Struthio camelus: one gene and its partner. The protein of the gene in region 2 purifies or fractionates together with the protein of the main gene of each other region. This does not show direct contact. Links are inferred from orthologs where the notes say so. Each region holds a gene or a part of one and is shown on either strand. Other genes may lie near its edges. The genes, in order: WDR20 and VSX1.

Region 1 (9,889 bases), on a different chromosome or scaffold from region 2:
ACTAATAAATCATTTTGCAAAGCTAGCCATAAACCAAGTTTAAGTATGCCAAGACTGTATCATAAGCAAGAATCAAGTTACACCCCTCACTCTTGATTTGGGGCTGCAGGGAAAGGGATACCCCTCCAAAGCATCAATACATTATAGTTTGAGTAATAGTTTCTGAATGATTTCCTCATAACCCCTACTCCACGAATAAACAAACTCCTAAAACAAAGAAAAAAAAAAAAGCTTCCTGTACGACCTAGAACTCTCTTAAGCATGATTAAGTCAACAATCCACAAAGAACAGATCATTCCGAATCTGACTAAAGGCTGAACTGAAGGCTTTAGTCAGGTAAGGCTTCACAAGACAGCCAATTGGATCTGACAGCTCGCCACCACTGAACAGGGCAGTCTTGCTCCCTTTCCCAAACCCTTTCTTTGTACTGACTGTTCCTGCTATATCCAAACCCAAAGTGAGATGGCTAGGCCCACTGTACTGAGAGAAAACCCACCCTGAAAAATGTCAGTATTTACCAGCTGGTTTAGCAAGCTGGACTGGCTCAACCAGAGGGTGAGTAGTGCCAAAGCCAGCAAGAGGGAGATAAGAGCGCGCTGCCAGAAGGATGCTACACTGCAAGACCATCATTTTCAGCTGTCCCTAAATCAGTTAAGTTCATGGAAATTCACCACTTTCATTTAACAAGACATCATTGTACACATCTAGCCTCAAAGTCAAAGCTGAGGAGGACTGAAAGTGAAAGCCAAATAATACTCAGTGCAGTCAGGAATAATTATATATTTTGCATAAGTAAAGCGACCACATCTCATTCCATTACAGTTTAATTTCTCTTTACTTAACTATAGGCTCACTTCCCTTTTCAGTGGATCCAAAACAGAAAGTAGCAGTTTTCTGGAAACCTTCATTGCCTTATTAATAAATAAATAAAAAAAAAAAAAAACTGTGCAAATTTCAATATGAAAAAAACACTGGCTCATAACAGATGTGCTTTCATTGAGGAAGGTAACATAAAACCATGAAATAGTAGAAACTCAGCTTCCTTTTTAAAGATGCAAAGAAGAAATTTGTGTTTTCTCCATAAAGCCTCTAAGGACAGCTCAAAGTGCTGTCCAACCCTCTTCCCTGAACTATCATCATCATATATCAGCATTACAAGTTCTGCACGACTGCTCTGGGAGCTAGACATAACTTTTAATCCAAGTTTCTTGAAAGAAGGATCAAGGTTAAAGAAAGATCCCTGGAAATGGTGATCCTCACATAAGTTTCGTTTCCTAAATAAAACACACACAGCAGTAGTCTAGGTAAAAAGACAATTTACAAAGTAGATATAGCAGATAAAGCATATCTAGTATCCAATGGAAACTAAAAGAATAAAGTTTGGTATCAGTGATTTTAAGGAATAGCCTTTCAAGTAGTATCTTTGACTCAGTATTCAGACCATTTATTCTTAAGCATCATCCATGGCTTAAGCCTGAATCTTACTTGATGTGTACTGACCTGCACTGGATTACCAACGCAAGAATTATCTAGGTACCTAACATACACGGCTCCTTAAAATACAGCCCTCATGACTCTTTCACTCATTTCAGTAAAAGTGTAGAATTTTGTCAGCAAGAAGCGGACCTTAAAAAAAAAAAAAAAAAGAAAGAAAAAAAGCAAGCTACCAGATATATACAATACAGCTTCACTAACATCATCTTGTTCTTTGTGTCATGCAGAGATTCACAGATCAGTCAGTTTTAAATGCCCATCCCCTCCCCAAACAGAAAGGCTTGCAAAGAGTTTGATAGTTTGTCCAGTTTAAGAGAGTGTTATTCACTATCAATTTAGGCAACAGTAGCTCTCTTCTGTTAGGATAGCTACAAAATACGTAACTTCTGATTTTGAAAAGCTCAAATGATCATATCAAAACCTTGTTCTCATGTCAATTTTCTACATAGACAAAACAATGACTTCCAACTGAATAATTTCAAAATAAGTTCCTAAGGAACAAGTATTACAAGTTTAAGATAGACCATCTTTCCCATTCTCAGTTAAATTATTTACATTAAGCATGTTTTAATCTATTTCAGCTGTTTCTCTAGGTTCATTGTACTAAAGTGAATGTTATATATATATAGGATATACACTATTTTTTAAAATGGTAATACTGTAAAAGCTTATTGAAACAAAATCTGTTCTGGATGAGTATGTTTTACACTAATCAGAGAGAAAAAAATAAAGTATTTAATGTTGTAACAGGTATGCCTCAAAGCTCACAAGTTAACAGTTTGACAAACCAAAATTTTCAGTTACTGTGTACCGCAACACACAAAAACAGCTTTTAGTATCTAGAGAAAAGTATTAGAAAAATACTTTGAGCTTAGCCTTTTAATTTGAAAAAGTTATTCCCTATTTTCAATGTACTTCCAGGATTTAGATTTTTATTCTTTGCAGTGCAGTAAAAGATGACTAAGACAACTGGTAAGAAACACATGTAAAATTACTACACTACATGAAGACCTGCTCTGCAATATAGATTAGAGAAGTCTGCAGCTACTTGTATGGAAAAATGAATCCAAACATGGCAATAATTTAAGAGACGGATTTTTAGAGATAAGTGCCACCCACAATATCTTGCAAGCATTAAAGATAGCAACTGCATGTTTGATACAAAACACTCATCAGGTACTTAAAGAAATCTTTGTTTAAATATTATTTACAACATAAGTAGATTGTTAAAATCCATTAAAGCGTGAAACCAAAATCTGTAGGCATTTTTTTCATACAATTACATAGGACAGATCTGTCAAGTCATAGTCAACAGATACCCAGGCAGCTTTTATCTCCAGTTAGCGCTTACATTTTATATAGGTGGAGGAGTGATGTGGGCACTAGCTTAAGTCTTTGTAGATTCAGGTATAATTCTTTGCTCGCCTACAAGCTTCCTGCGTGACCTTGGGTACGTCACTAGTTCTCTGTGCCTTCATTCCCTGTTGCTTGGTGGGCTACAAGCAGGAAGACTCCAAGGTACTCACATTATGGCTGCTGAGTCTCAAATACGTAAGGTAACGAACATCCACTTTTCAAAGCAGAAAACAGAAAACTGACAATCACGACATCTATGTTTACATATATTGAGTGACGTGCATTCACACAGCATGACAAACTCTGAACGCCCCACTAAATCCCATGAGGCCAAGGACCCTAATAAACAACAGGCAGAACAAGTTTGTTTATAAATACAGTGAACTGAGACATCAAAAACACACGCTGTTAGCCGTGCATCAAATATTAACATTTAAGGAGGATCTCTTAGGTTGAATCAACATTTCTTTCCTATAATAACAGCTTTCTCTGTGTTAACTATTTGACATGTAGCTCATTGCACTGCCCCCATTTAGAGACAATCCTAGAAACAGTCCACACTTCAAAGCCACAATAAAGGCCTAAAATTAAAGTGAAAGCTGTAACTACTTGGTTAAGGCTAGGAAGATATGCTCTCCCACCATCCTGGAAGCAGGGATCTGACATCACCATAACCATGCCAAGCATTAGTGTCCAGCAACCTCACACCTGAAGCAGCAGGTGAAAGAGGCCCCGAGTTGCCTCACTATTGGAAAGCCAGCCCTCACCCCTGTACGCCAAGGAGGGGCCAAGCAATCACATCCCTTAGAAGGGCCCCCCACACACCTACCGCTGGTGACAACCGTATTTTGACGTAGCCCTTCAGCACTAAGCCAGCGCCAGTCCACCTCGCACAGCCCTCCAGGCCAGGCCTACGCTCCCCCTCCTCGAACCGCTACCCTACGAACCAGCTGATCGGGAGAGCAGCTAAAGCGGCAGCTACAGCCGAGCCCCAACCGAGGAGCTGCCAGCCCCAAGGCGAGGCCCCGGGGGGCCCGAAGGAGAAGCGGCCCCGCGGGGCGGCCCCAGCCCCCCGCCGCCCCCCGCTGGCACCCGGCGAGCCCTCGGCGGGGGGGGCGGCCCGCCGCGGAGCTCCCCCCCAGCCCCTCTCCTCGCCCGGCGGCCGAGCCCCGGTACCTTGCGGACCCCCTTGTAGATGTAGAAGTACAGCTCCCGGCCCACATTGAAGCAGAGCCGGTCACCGTTGCCGCTCTGGTCGTTGACGTTGACGAAGGAAACGCGGACCGGGTTGGAGCCCTGCGAGTTGAAGGGCACCCGGTTAGGCCGGCTGTACTCCGAGTGGCTCAGCAGCTTGTACAGCCCCTCCCGGGTGGTGAACTGGGTCTTAATCTCGTTCATCTCCTTCCCTCCTCCCTCCGCCGCCATCTTGGAAAGGAGCATTCATCCTGCCCCAGTGCCCGGATGTAGCTCCACTGCGCAACCGCAACCGTCGCCGCCGCCGCCGCCGCCGGGGCTCGCGCGGCCCTACGCGGAGGCGGCCACGCAAACGGCGTAAAGGGGCGGAGCGGCGCTGCCTGTTTACTGCCCGTCTGCGCATGCGCCAGGTGGCCGGCCCTTGGGTGGGCGCTGGCGGCGAGGGGCGGAGCCTCGGGCGTGGGGTGGGGGCGGGGCGCGTGCCGGGCGGGGCGGAGCGGAGGCTGCGGAGGGGGCGGCTCAAGATGGCGGGGGGCGGCGGGGTTGCGCCTGGCGGGTGCGGGGCGGGGGTTGTACCTGACAGAAATTCGTCGCCTCAGGGCCGGAGCGCCTGTCCCTGACAGCGCGCGAGGCGCGATGGTAACCACCCCCGCCGCCTGAGGCGCCGAAGCTGGATTTCGGTGTGCGCCGAGCAGTGGTTTTTTGCAGGGTTACGATAACGGCTGTGCGCGTTTGAGCCTTTTCCCCGGGTGGTCACAGAAATGGAAATGGGGTGCCAGCTCCTTGGCTTTCTGTACTGAGCTACTGTTTTGTTGTGGCCCAGGCCAGCTTTGCCCGCAGGTTGTCACTGGCGTGTCCTCGAGGTGCCAAACTGCTGGCTCAGGTGGGGTTTCTAAGGCTGGCTGGGAGAGTCCCGCGGGGTAGCAAGCCTGTTGAAGGGGTAACAAATACAACATGCCGTTCACGTTGCAAGTCAGGCCAGCACTGCTCCTAAAGGAAGCAGTACCAGCATCCCTCCAGCTCGGCACTGGTCTCTGCTTAAGCTGATGGCTGCATGCAGAGCCAGGCTGGGGAGTTGGCCCAGCTGAACATTAACCTGCAAAACTGGTTGTCCCGTAATGTACTTCATTGTTCTGATCGTCATCCAGCTGGCTGTGTTGCATGGTGAACCAGATCAATGCCCCTTTGCCCCTTACAGGCACAAGGGAGGAAGTTGCACGGGGTCGGAAGGGATTGTTTCACTGGGTAGGGAGGAAAGACTTTCTTTCGGCGGCAGCAGTTTCGGTTTAAAGAGGTTGTCGTAACTACAGCCTCGTGGCTTGAAATTATGGCTGACTTAAGCTAATCTAAGACTGATCTCCCACTATAAAAAGGGGTTTTGATCTCTGTCTTCAGCTGCATATTTTTACTACCTCTCTTGCATCAGTTCTAGCAATCGTGCAACCAAAGGTTGAGTCAGAGCAGCTTGAAAGCAGACCCCACAAAAAGAAATGGCAGGTTCTCAGACAAGGAAACTGCTGATCAGCAACTGAGCTCATCCAACTCATCCCAGAACTGGTAAAGCCAAAATAAGGGAGGAGTTAGGAATGTGCAACTGGGAGAAGCTAAGCAGCACAGAGTTAGATCACCTAAAAGTAAAAATAAAAAATGCACTTTAAAGGTATAGTTTCATATTGTAACTGAGTTGGTCTAATGTGGCTGCTACCAAAGGAGGTGTCCTGCTCTCTTCATTCCTGACTGTGATTATCTGCTGCTGCTACTTCCTTCACAAGCAGTGGTGCTCATCTGACCTCATGGGGAGCCATTTCAGAAAGATAAATGGGCAGAGAGTTAACCCCTCCTCTAAATGTGAAATGAATGGTATCAGATGAAAAACAGTAACTGTGTAGGGGAGGGGGCAGGAATGTGTGGCAGAGCAGGAGGGAAGCAGGACCTCTACCTCCCTTGCTATCCATTAGATCAGCTCAACTACAGAAGTCCACTCAGACCCCAGGGGGCAAAAGGGATTTAGTCTCAAATCAATTTAGTTAAAAATGATTTCGTTTGTGGCTAAATACCATCTTGCTGCTGAGCATCAAAATATTATTACAACGTAACTGAGACACATGAAAGAGCTGAAGACCTCCAGGCTAACTCATAGAGTAGATATCCGAGTGAACAACTGAACAGGTACAGATAACCTTTAAAAAGATCGGGTGTTGGAGCCTTGCTTGGAATTTGTGAGATAAATCCAATCAATAATGACCAATAGATCTTGTCAGCTTATCAGCCAGCCCTGCCAGATGGTACTGATGACCTCCTAAAAGCACATAAAGTAGGTGAGTAGAACTGTGGTTATTTTAGGAATCATCATCTTGAGAGTCATTCTTTCATGCAGAAATGTCATGTACAGACTTCCAAAGAGAAGAAGATCAGAATGTTTTCAGTCATCACAAGAAAAGCAGGAAATGCAAGGATCTCTAAATAATAATAATATTCAAAGCAGACAGGAATTTAACCAAGAATGTTAATTGTTGCTCCAAGCTGGCAGACTTGGCATGTCTTATTCATTACACAGTGATAACATTGGCAAGGTCACTATGAAAAACAAAGTAGGCAACTTTGGTAGAAGGATTGCGTGGAATGCAAATCTTACTGAAAGCACAGCAGGCCATCTGTCACTGATGGAATGAGTGTGATCCAAAGAATAAACAACGTTAACACGTACCTGGTTATCAGCAGTACATGATGGTGCAGAAAGTCAAAGACCTGATGTAGTGTTTAACATTTACCAAGAAACATCAATAAAAGCTGCTGAGAGATTCCACAGAGAATCCAAGACAAATATTCATTTCAAAAACACAGCTGCAAGTCACAAGAACACTATTGTACAGCCCCATCAACAGTCCTTATCAAATACTTGGTTAAGGAATGGGAAAAAAGAGATTACACAGTTAAGCCTCATGAAAAAGTTCTCTGTGCCACTGTAAATTCTTCTGTTTCAAGCTAACTAAAGATCATAGTTCTGAAATAGTCCCATGAGGATGCCCATAGATGTGTTATTTTGTAGGCACTACACAATCAATACATCAAAAGTCAGTCAGAATCACTACTGAATCCTTTCTTTACTTCTCCCAAATGTTTTGGCAAGTTGGAAAACAGACATGAGCAAAATTGAGTAGCATTCATAAAATAGTGTGATCCTCTGAGATCAATTTATGTAGAATATAATTTGGTCCTGCAATTTTTCAGGATGCAGCATTAATAAGGCTTTTGCTGGCAGCAGAAAATTGGAGCCTTAAGACTTATGCAATGTGAGTACAATTATCAACAAAACTTTTCTGTGCTTGAATTTGCGAGCCATCTGTTACTTCCCTAAAAGTGCAACAACTGATACCAGTGAACGCTTTTATCAACGCTTCTGAGCCAAAGAAAAGGACGATGACTACACCCATATTCTATCATGCAAAAAAATGTCTATTCTAATATGCACTGCTTGCAGAGGCAGGCAATCAGGAGACCATCTCTGCAATGTCTATCTACTACAGCAGGTCTGTCAAGTCTTGCTTGGACTATTGATGCCAAAAAGAATTTAAATATTTAGTGGGTGACTGACTTCAGAGTATCAAAAGCTCTGCAACATGTCATTTTTTACGGAATCTATGAACGTGCATGAATTACTAGCAGGCACAAGTACACAGAGATCTGCAAGCAGTACATCTGAACGAGTCAAAAGACTGATGTTGGTGAGAAGGACATGCAAGATCCCTTAATGTAATACAGGGAGAAAAAAAAAATTATGATGTTGGAAATATATTTCCTATGACTTACCCGTATGGCTTACCCGCTTTAACAGACATCTAACCTGCTTTCAGCATGAGAAAATATTGTTTATGGTATATTTTTAAACAATATAAATTGTGAGTTCCTTATTTGTATTAAGAATCTTTTCTTAAGCACTGCACACATTTAACACTAAAAACATTGATAATACATTGTGATATATATTACAAAATGAAAGGGTATTTTCTAAGCAATTAAGTCTGTACTAAACTGGAATATCGTGTATATTGTTTTTTCTCTCATCACTCCCCAAGAGGAAAAGCATGTGAAACATTTTGTTTTCATAATTTTGGGTTGTTATTACTTAAAAAAACATATTTTTAAGTACAAACATTTAGATTAGAGAAGGCAAGGTGAAAGAAATATGCTTTGCAGTTGGGAATGGATGAGAGTGAACTCTCTTGTGAATTTGGATGAGTTCATTTTGCTGTTTGCAGTCAATCTCCGTGAACGTTGTCTCCTGCACAGACTAGGTTACCTCTGTAGTGAAGAGTACCATTCTTATCAATAACATCTCTTATCTTGAAGCTTTATATATCCTGGAGATTATGCTCTCTAAAGATAAGACTGAGATTATGAAGTTGATTTAAATCCAGTGGAAAGATTGGTTTTATAGGCCTACAAATAGTTTGTATTTCTAAGAGATGCTACAGCATTCTGTACTTCTCAAAGCTCCCTAACTATGGAAGTCATCATATCCATGCATACGGTATCGCTATAATCCAGCTGAGGAATGACAAAGCTGTGAAGAAGTAAGGTTCTGATTGTTGGCCAGCAGCACTGATCAAGGTTTCGTATGAAACTCAAATTCCTAGATGGCGATGATTGTCAGTGATGCACTGTGAGAGTTTAGCTCCATCAAGAAGGCCAAGAACACTCAGTACGTAAATACTGCAAAATTATTTTCTCTGCTCATCAGAATCACCTCTTTCGTTCAGCTGATTTTTTATTGTGAAAGTCATCTTGGTGATAGTGTTGTGATAATACATGGTTATTGATAGGCATTGAGGCTCAAGCAGCCTGGAGCTGGCATGAGCAACAGTTAGTTAACGGTTAGCTAACCCTGCAAATTAACAAGAAAAGTAGCTGCCGTTGTGTGACTTAAGGCTCCCTAAGCAGAAGATAAGGAAAACTGAAAAAAATGAAAAAAGTGTCCTTGGAAAGATAACGAGTGGACTTTAACAGCCAAGGGAGGAAAAGCCGCCTTTATGGGAAATGATATATAATAAATAATAAATAATAAATAAAGAACTAACAAAGTTGTAAAAGGTGACCAGAGTCAAATGCCTCCGAACATTTTGAACATAAAAGAGATATGTCTACATGGACCTCTTAAGCTTATCCTCAGAGCCTCAGGCTCCCATGGCATCTGGCTAACTGATGGTGAGATCTTTTTAAGGGCAACTATAGATCATATGCTTAGTTTTGCGTAGTTTTATATGATGTATTAAGTAAAGTTTGCTTGTTAGAGGATGAGCTGTGTCCTGGCCACTCAGCTGCCTAGTGCCTAGATTTAGCTCTTTGGCAGCAGCAGAACTGTTGTTCCTCTGTATATTGTGTGCTGGCACTCTAGTTTGTTGTGTGAAAAAAGACTGGGGAGAGAATTGATTCTTCTAGAAATCCACAAGCAAAGAACATTCGGATAGAGTCGTTTTTTTCTGTTGCTTTGATGTATGTCTCAAAAAAGGACTGGAAACCTGTTATCACATTCCACATTTCCTTATTGCCTTTCTCACCTGAAACAATACTGTCTCAGAATAAACATGTTGTTGCAGAGAGCTTCAGAAGAACGGCTATCTGCTTGCTGTCCAGTCACAGGAGAGGATTCTCCATCAGTGTCACAAGTGTAATTTCAGTTCCATGGCCTGAATGACTGACTCCAAATTGCTTTAGATGAAGCACTGACGTTTTATATAGATTATGTTCAAATCAGCCTTTTCATGAGCTTTTCTATGAGCAGCCTGAAGCACTGGAGCTTTGGTAGCAAAAGCTGCTCATTCAGTGCGAGTTGAATTATTGCAAG
Region 2 (9,379 bases):
TGTGGCCGGGATCTGCTGGGTGGGGATCCTGGGATCGTGGCTGGAATCTACTGGACAGGGATCCCAGGATCCTGGATAGGATCTGTTGGGTCAGGATCCTGGGATCTGCTGGACGGGGACCCTGGGATCTTGGCTGGGATCTATTGGGCTGGGACCCGAGGATCCTGGCCAGGATCTGCTGGGTGGGGATCCCAGGATCCTGGCCAGGATCTGCTGGATCAGGATCCCCAGATCCTGGCCGGGATCTGCTGGGCGGGGGTGGACAAGGCGGGGGTGAGAGCCCGGACAGCCCGCGCCTGGGCCGGGCCGGCCCGGCGCGAGGGAGCGCTTGCAGGGCCTTAAGGGGCGGTGGCGGCGGGCGGCCGGTCTGCGGGCCCGGGCAGCAGCCCCGCAGGGGCCGCCCAGCCGAAGCGCGCGTTACCGGCGAGCGGGGCCAGCCGGCAGCGCCGCCCCGGGCCCGTGCCTGGCAGCCAGCGGCCGCCCGCTCCTGGCGAAGCCGAGAAACAAGCCAACGTGGTCCCGTTTTAGCCCCGCTCCGCGTCCCTTGGTCCGCGGCCGGCTGGGCAGCTGGCGCGAGTCCCTGCCTGGGGCAGAGGCGGTTCGGGGGCGGCGCGCGCTGCAGTGACCTCGGGGCAGCAGGCTGGCAGCCTGCCCCGCGAGTCCCCTCCTGCAGCCGGGGGTGAGAGCGGGAAGGCCGCCAGGCTGGGCTGCCCCGGGCCGGGGAAGGCGCCCCGGCGTTTGCCGTTGCTGCGCTCTGCCCCCGGAGCGACGCGGTGAGCCAGGCCAGCCGCGCGCGGGCAGGGCAAAAAGGGGAAAAAAAAAAGCTGCCAGACACCAGTGCCAGCACGGCACAACCCACATAACGGGTTTGCAAATGCTGCTCAGGCAGGATTAGGCCTCCAACGTGCTAAATCTCGGCTCTTGCAGCGCGTAATTGCTGCTGCAATAAGCCCTGGCTCATCCTTTCCTGAACCGTGCTGCCCGCGCAGCCCCGCCGTACGGTTTTCTGCCGCGCCGGCTGCGTTTGCCGTGCGCCCGTTTCCCTGAGAGGTGGCGGGGCGGCGGAGGGGGGGGATGCACGCACAGCATGAAAACCGAAGCTACACCACAGCTTTATTTATGGGGGCGTAATAAATAAGCGATGGACAAAACAGGCAGAGCCACGTTCAGAAGAAAAAAAACCAGAACCAGACAGACAGAGGCTAAAGTGCTTTCGGACAGAAGTCAGACCGCCGAGGAACGGCGGGGGCGTTGCGCTCTCACAGACGTTCCCGGAACGGTCTCCTGCGTCGACCCACACATCGTGCGCTTGTTCCGGGGTACTACGGCTTGGTTTTCGGAAAGGCCGCTCTGTTGGCGTGCCCGGTACGGCAGGCGACGTTCAAGCGCGTGCGAAGGTGGTTGCGTAAATAAGAGCGCCTCCGTCCCTCGGCCCGACCGCGACGCAGCGTAAACGCGGTGGCGAGGCTGCGGCGGCACGTCAGCTGGCGGCGGCCGGAGGACGTGCCGGAGCCCTCGGGGCGGGAGAGGCGCGCGGGCGCTGCCGGCGATGGACGGGCCCCCGCGCGCAGCCCCGGGCGAAGGGAAGCTCTGCCCAAGAGGCCGTCCGTGCTGCCCACAGCACGGTCCTGGTTTCCCACCGCTTTTGGCCAGCTTCGGACGCCTCTCTGCTCTGCTGAGAGGCGAGCAGCTGAGAAGCGGGGGGGCGGAGGGGAGGGTTCAGTTTTACAATGCCCTGAATTCAGATAGAAGTTCAATTATCTGAGGAGGAAAAAAATATATACATATAGCAATAAATATTCTTAGGATCGCAGGGGGCTGGCCGGGCAGCCCGAGCTCAGCGGTCCCTGTCCTCCTGCTCCGCGGCGGGGTCCCCGCTGACGCACCGGCCCAGCGCGCTTCTCTTCCCGCGCCCGGCCGTCCTGGAGAGGTCGATGGCCGCGTCCCCCGAATCGATCACGGGGCCCAGCTGGTCAGAGCCCCTCTGCGCGCTGGCCGGCTCCCCTCCGCGGTCCTCCTCGGTCCGCTCCTCTCGCCAGCCGTCCGCCGGCTTCTCCCGGCTCTCCGCCTTCCTGCTCGCCTCCACGGACTTTCTGTGCATGCCTTGCCGAGGGGAAAGAGCAGAGCAGAGGGCGCGCGTTGCCCGCCCGCGGCCCCAGCCGGAGGGGAACCTCGCGCTGGCTCTGGCTCGCGCCCCTGCTGCCTGCTCTCCGCCAGAGGAGGCCGCTCCGCAGCGGGACCCGTGGGCACCTGCCGCTCGCGGGCGGCGGGAAAGGCTCGCCGGGAGAGGGCTGCTGCGAAGGGCCCGGGCTTCCCGGGCCGCCCCGTTGGAGCGGGTCAGGTAGCCCCCGACACGGCGCGAGCGCGGGGCCGTGCCCGGCCGCGGGGAAGCGGTCCCCCTTCCCCAGCTCCTCTTCAGAGGGAGGGAGCGAAAGGGCCAAGCTACGCCGCAGCCTGCTCAAAGCTCGTGGCTGAGGCCCTGCTCCGTCCTGGGAGAGGGCGGGCGCGCGTGGCCAGGCACGAGAGGTGACCGCTAGCTCGCTGGGCGCCGTGGCCGGCCCCGTCCCCCCGCCGCACCGTGCTCCAGCTCACCCAGCAGCCACGGGGCGCAGGATCCCACCAGCCCGCTCTTGGCGGAGTTGATGATCGACTCGGGCAGAGGGATGGAGTGTCTCACCATGGCCCCGTAGAGGCCGTACTCGGCCATCACGCTGCTCCGGCCCCAGCGCTTCTCCCTCTTCCGCCACTTGGCTCTTCGGTTCTGAAACCAAACCTTCAGGGGTAACAGCCAGGAGAGCGCGGAGGGGTGGGAGAGGGGAGGAGACGGCACCCGCGGCCAGCCGGCGGGGCCCGTTGCGCGCGGGGCAGCGCGCGGCCAGGGCCGAGGGACCGCCGAGAGGTGGTGTCGGGGGGGATGCGGGGAGGGCACGCACGTGGGTGTGAGCCAGAGGGGAGAGGAGGAGGGGGGGGGAGAGGGAGCACACGTTACACCAGGCGTCCCCAGCCAACGTCGCCAAGAGGAGCCCGTGGGCTCCGCCTGCCCGCCGGGCGGCCGCACGAAGCCACCTTCGTCTCCAGGAGAAGGGGTCCGCGGGGCAGGTGCTGGCGGAGGGTGCCGGTGCTCCTCTCCCCCCCAGCCCCCCCGCTGCCTTCCTGCGGGGCAGGTGCAACCCAACCGCTGCCCCATCCTCAGCCAAGCCAGCGAGCCGCCCCGTGTCCCTCAGAGGAGGCGTGAGCCACCCAAGGTGAGACGGCTTGGCCCAGCGGCGCCGCGGCCGGGCCGCCTGCCCCCACCGGGGGTACGGGGGCCGGAGGAGCGCCGTGCCCCTGGTTGGGGGTCTCCTAGCGCAGCCCGGGAGCGTGTCGGGGGGGGGGGAAGGTGGGCATCCAGCTCGAGGTCCCGCGCGGCCACCTACCTGTATCCTGTCCTCCGGCAGCTCCGTCCTCGCGGCCAGCATCTCCCTGGCGTAGACGTCCGGGTAGTGAGCTTCGGTGAACGCCTTCTCCAGCTCCTCCAGCTGGTGAGCCGTGAACACCGTCCTGCGGGGAGGAGAGCGGGTCCTGCGGGGCGGGCCGGACCCCCGGCCGCGGGCCCGGGCCGGGCCCTGCCTCGGGGCTCGTACCTGTGCCGCCGCTTCTTCCTCTTGGCCGGCGAGCTCGACGCCGCCGCCGCCGCCGCCTCGCCGGACGGGCTGTCCTCGCCTGGCAGCGCGCGGAGGGGGCGAGAGGGACACTGCGGCGGGCAGCGCTCGGCACCCCGCCGGCCCCCGCCGCCCCCCGCACCCCGCTTACCGGAGACGCGCTCCCGCCGCCGGCGGGCGGCCCCGACGGGCGACCCCGGCCCCGGCAGCAGGCACGGCCGCCCCGGGGCCGCCCAGCCGCACAGCAGCCCCAGCCCCGCGCCCCCCCCGAAGCCCGCGGCGGCCGGCGGCCCGGCGGGGTGGTGGTGGTGGTGGAGGGGGGGGGACGGCGGCGGCCCGGGGGGGGGCGGCAGCTCGGCCTCCAGCCCCAGCAGGTCGGTGATGGCGAAGCCCTTGGCCCCGCGCCGCCCCGCGCCGCCCGCCCGCTCGGGCAGGGCGCTGCGTCCCGCTGCCGCTGCCGCTGCCGGTGCCGGTGCCGGTGCCGGTGCCGGTGCCGGTGCCGCCGCGCGGCCCCCCGACGGCTCCGCCCGGCCCGGCATCGCCGCCCCCGCCTGGCCCGGCCCCGCCGCCCGCCGCCCCTTTTATCCGCCCGCCACCGGCCCCGGCTCCAATCACGCCCCGGGGCCGCCGCCGCCGCCGCCGCGCTCCCAATCCCCGGATTAGCGGCCACCAGCCCCCCGCCCCCGGACCCCCCCCCCTCGGGCCCCGGCCCCCCCCCCCGGGCCCCGGCCACCCCCCCCTCGGGCCCCGGCCACCCCCCCCCCTCGGGGCCCGGCCCCCCCCCCCTCGGGCCCCCCGGTCCCCCCCCCTCGGGTCCCGGTCCCCCCCCTCGGGCCCCCCGGCCACCCCCCTCTCGGGCCCCGGCCACCCCCCCCTCGGGCCCCCCGGCCACCCCCCTCTCGGGTCCCGGCCACCCCCCCCCCCGGGTCCCGGTCCCCCACCTCGGGCCCCCGGTCCCCCCCCCCTCGGGCCCCGTTTCCCCCCCTCGGCCCCCGGTCACCCCCCATCGGGCCCCGTTCCCCCCCTCCGCCCCCGGCCACCCCCCCCTCGGGCCCCCGGTCACCCCCCCCTCGGGTCCCGGTCCCCCCCTCGGTCCCGGTCCCCCCCCTCGGGCCCCGGTCCCCCCCCTCGGGTCCCGGTCCCCCCCTCGGTCCCGGTCCCCCCCCTCGGGCCCCGGTCCCCCCCCTCGGGTCCCGGTCCCCCCCTCGGTCCCGGTCCCCCCCCTCGGGCCCCGGTCCCCCCCCTCGGTCCCGGTCCCCCCCCTCGGGCCCCGGTCCCCCCCCTCGGGTCCCGGTCCCCCCCTCGGTCCCGGTCCCCCCCCTCGGGCCCCGGTCCCCCCCCTCGGGTCCCGGTCCCCCCCTCGGTCCCGGTCCCCCCCCTCGGGCCCCGGTCCCCCCCCTCGGTCCCGGTCCCCCCCCTCGGGCCCCGGTCCCCCCCCTCGGGTCCCGGTCCCCCCCTCGGTCCCGGTCCCCCCCCTCGGGTCCCTGCTCCCCCCCCGCTGCCCCCCCGCTCCGCGGCCCCTGCCCGCCCCCCCCGCCTCCCCCCTCATGCCCCCCCCCGGGCCCCCTCCGGTGGCCCTCGGTGCCCTCCCCAGGCGCCCGGGTGGCCCCCCCGCCCCGTTAGCCCCCCCACCTAGACGGCTGCGCCCCCCCCCCCGGCCCCCTGGGGACGGGACCCCCGGCCTGGCCTCCTTGCGGCTCCCAGATTCTTGCACCTGGGCTGCAGTTTGGGCCCCCCCCCCCGGGTCTGTTTAGGGAAAGGGTTTGCAGCAGGCTTGGGCGGGCGGCGGATGCCGGCCTCCCCGCTACGCGCTCAGATTAGACGAGGGTCCTTCTGATAAAGATAATTACAAGGGGACTCCGCATTAACTTTGCATTATTAAAGGAAGACCCAAATCTCCCCTCGCAAGCTGTTCCCGGGATTAGCAGAACAATAACTTTCATTTAGGATAATTGCCGTGGCCGGTGCTGGGGGCTTGGGGTGGGGGGGGGGTCGCTTGGGGCGATGGCGCGCTGCACCGAGAAAGGCAAACGGGACGGCGGCGGGAAGGGGGCGTCGCACCCCCCCCCCCAAAGCCCCCGGGCAACGGGGAGGGGGGACCGCGCACCCAGGAGGGGGGATGCTCGGGGGGCGCGCTGCCCCCGGGGCCCCCCGGCCTGGGGCAGGGGGACGGGGCCCCCCGGGGCCCCCCGGGCACCTTCACTTTCCCCAAGCGCTTTGGCTGCGCTGGCGCTGCTGGAAGCGGCGACTTTCACCGCCGGCCGGGGAGGATCTGCCGCAGTAATTAGAAGCCCTAATCCGGCCACCGCCCACAACAAATTTCCTGCCCAAGCAGATATTAGTGGATAAAACCCTAATTTTTGACGTTGTCCCAGAATCAGCTTGATTTCAGCAGTTTACGTTGAGGCTGAGCTGTTGGGAGAGATGATGAAGCCTTAAATATGCATATGGCCTAGTCGTTTGGAAAGTTGGGGGATAAAGCATACATAATTGCTCCTAATCAGTTTATGAAACATAAAAGCTCAAACCCGAGAGAAAGCCGATAGATGCAGGAATGGAAATAGCAGTTAAATCTGCGCCGCGCCGGCAAGCTGGTCAGGATGTGGCGGTGTGGCCGGGGCTGGGGGACGCCGTGCGGGACCGGGGATGCTCCGGTCCCCGGGACCGGGACCAGGACCAGGATCAGGACCGGGACCTGGACTGGGACCGGGACCGGGACCAGGACCTGGACTGGGACTGGGACCGGGACCAGGACCTGGACTGGGACCAGGATCAGGACCAGGACCGGGACCAGGACCTGAACTGGGACCGGGACCTGGACTGGGACCGGGACCTGGACTGGGACTGGGGCTGGGACTGGGACTGGGACTGGGACCAGGACCTGGACTGGGACCAGGACCAGGACCAGGACCGGGACCAAGACCTGAACTGGGACTGGGACCGGGACCTGGACTGGGACCAGGATCAGGACCAGGACCAGGACCGGGACCAGGACCTGAACTGGTACCGGGTCCTGGGCTGGGACTGGGACTGGGACCAGGACCTGGACTGGGACCAGGACCAGGACCAGGACCGGGACCAGGACCTGAACTGGGACCAGGACCTGGACTGGGACTGGGACTGGGACTGGGACTGGGACTGGGACTAGGACTGGGACCGGGACTGGGACTGGGACCGGGACCGGGACCGGGACCAGGACCTGGACCTGGACTGGGACTGGGACTGGGACTGGGACTGGGACTGGGACCGGGACTGGGACTGGGACCAGGACCTGGACTGGGACCAGGACTGGGACTGGGACCAGGACTGGGATCAGGACCAGGACCGGGACCAGGACCAGGACCCGGACCGGGACCAGGACTGGGGCCGGACCGGGGGAGGATACGCGTGCTGCCGCCCGCCACCTTCCCCAGCCGTGATGGAGACGGGCATCTCCGCTGGTCTTTTGGACAATAAAGCAGTTAAAGGATATCTTGATATATGCTCATCAGATAGGATTATCTGGGATTAGACTAATCAGTAAATGTTTCTCTGCTCGTTATTTTCCGGGGAAGATTTTTTCCGCTGATTCCCCAACGCCGAAAGATTATTCATCGCTTAAAGAGCAGTGCATCGAACATGGGCCCCTGCTCCAGTTTCCCCAGGGTGCCTCCCGCTGCGGGCAGGGCGCCCGCCAGGGGGGACCCGGCGAGGGGGCGCCTCGGGTCCCCGAGGGGTGGGCCACCACCTCCTGCAGCGATACGGGGCGGGGGGGCGCGGGGGGAGCGAGAAGGTCCCGGGGGGCCTGGTTTAGGGGGTTAGCAGCGGGATGGGGCAGCTTTCACCCCCCCAGACCCTGCTTCAGATATGAATCAGGTCGATCACACGGGAAAGCTGGCACCAGTTTCTGGGTTTGATGTGGGGGGCGGGGGGGGGGAAGATGCTCCCAGCGCCCCAAATCGGAGGCTTCAGGGGGGTTCCCTCCCCGGGGGGAGGCTGGCACTGAGCTGGGGGTCGGGAATAGCCCCCCGCCGCGGTCCCCCCCCGCCGCCGCGCGCCCTCCGACCCAGGGCGATGGCTTTGCCGGCGGCCGGGGTGGAGGCACGAGGGACAGGGGGGTTCGCCCCCCGCCCCCCGGTTACGTGCGCTAAACCAGCCCCCCCGAGGAGACCCTCGTCCCGCCCCGGGCAGGCCCTGCAAACCAGCCGTCCGCTGCGGCGCCCTCGAATTTCCTTTTTTCCTCTTGATGGGAGAAGTGGGCACCGCCGCAGCTTCTCAGGTCCCTCTTGCACCTGGGGGACCAGAGCGGGGTCTTTTCTGGCCGTGGAAGACTCGGCCCAGGGACGGCGAGGCTGCTTGAGCAGGGCGGTCGGAGGAGGTGGTCTCCAGAGGTCCCCTCCAGCCCCAGCCCTTCCGGGAGTCCGCGAAACCAGCGGAAAGCTCTTGACCGACCTTGAGCTGTGAGCCCAACCCAGATTCTCCCTTTCCTGCCGGTCGGGAAGGTTTCAAGCCAGTTTCTTCATTTAGGCCGCTGGCTTTCATTTAGGCAAGGGCACGAAGGCGAAATGAGTCGGCCCGCGGCGAGGGCCGTCGACGCGTCTCGGCTGACTCGGGCGGCCCCGGCGCCTTCCACTCAGGTCACCGCCGGGCTGCCTTGTCCTCCTCTCCGTTTCTCTCCCGTCGGGCAGTCCCTACCTGCCAAACGTGCCCCAGGCAAAGCGCCGCTGTTATTTTCCGGAGCGAGGGAGGGACGCGAAACCTTTGGCGCGAGTGACTTCCCAGCTGCCCTCCCCGCTTCCAGCGTCTGCTTTTCACCTGCTTTCTGCAACGTGCCCCAGGAAGACCTCCGCCACGGTGCCAAAAACGAACGTGTCCCAGATGAACAGGTGGAGCGGCGCTGGCAGCAGAGAGTCCCCCGACCGCCTCCAACGGGGACCTGCGTTGCTGGTGTCACTGCCGCGCTCTGAGGAGGACAGAGGAGGAGGGAAAGGATTCAGAGGAAGAAATAAGAAACTTCTCCCTTGCAGGCCTATGGTCTGTGGTCTTCCTTTTTCCCATGAGTGGAGCTTTGCTGGATTTTGAGGATGGAAAAACGGCATTTCCTCCCTGCCTGGGAGCGGCAGCGAAGGCTCTTGGCTCCTTCTGCCCCGTACCTAGCCCGGGGGCGAGAAGTCCGGTTACGCGTTTTCTTCGGCCTCCCTCTCCTTCGCTGTCCCCGCAGGGGACAAACCCACTCATATCATCAGCGACAAGGCAGGGGTCTCCCGAGGACGTGCTGCGGAGCAGAAGAGCAGAAAGCCTCCGCCAAGGGTTACTTGGGCGAAGCCTCATTGCTTGTTACCTTGCACCGCCGTAACGGAAGCTACCCTGGGGTAAAGCAGCTGTTCACTGAGACTGAAACAGCAACATCCCCCTCTGCCCCTGGCTCAAAGCCCCTCTGTATCTTAACCCTTCACTGTGGACTGTGTGGCTTCTTACCCGTCCCCTATAGGGCGGCGATCCTGCCCTCGTAGAGCATCTAACATAGCAGAGCATGTGGGCAACACGCAAGCCGCTGCTGGGGCTGTGGTGTCTCTCCAGGGGGACTTGTCTCGGAAAAACCCAGGACGTAACCCAGCAGACCTGCCGTGCTTGAAGCGGTGCCTCCCATTTCCGCCCTTCTGCAAATAGCCAGGAGAGTGCACCTAAGTGCAGCAACGCAGGCGGCACTGATGGGATGCCCCAGCGACACGGGTTGCCCTACGGCCCGGGCATCAGAC

The links.
Region 1: the proteins of VSX1 (region 2) and WDR20 purify together in Homo sapiens (affinity purification with mass spectrometry; 3 studies listed by BioGRID and IntAct, with this or other methods). This does not show direct contact. The link is inferred for Struthio camelus from reciprocal best matches to the Homo sapiens genes VSX1 and WDR20.

What each region holds. Positions count from the first base shown.
Region 1 is NC_090946.1:71,325,763-71,335,651, reverse strand, and holds the start of WDR20 (WD repeat-containing protein 20), read right to left. Parts: upstream 4,392-9,889; 5' UTR 4,291-4,391; coding exon 4,027-4,290; intron 1-4,026. UniProt on the Homo sapiens protein: Regulator of deubiquitinating complexes. Activates deubiquitinating activity of complexes containing USP12. Anchors at the base of the ubiquitin-contacting loop of USP12 and remotely modulates the catalytic center of the enzyme.
Region 2 is NC_090944.1:147,799,317-147,808,695, forward strand, and holds VSX1 (visual system homeobox 1), read right to left. Parts: upstream 4,181-9,379; coding exon 3,793-4,180; intron 3,703-3,792; coding exon 3,624-3,702; intron 3,541-3,623; coding exon 3,417-3,540; intron 2,774-3,416; coding exon 2,593-2,773; intron 2,104-2,592; coding exon 1,838-2,103; 3' UTR 1,094-1,837; downstream 1-1,093. UniProt on the Homo sapiens protein: Binds to the 37-bp core of the locus control region (LCR) of the red/green visual pigment gene cluster. May regulate the activity of the LCR and the cone opsin genes at earlier stages of development. Dispensable in early retinal development.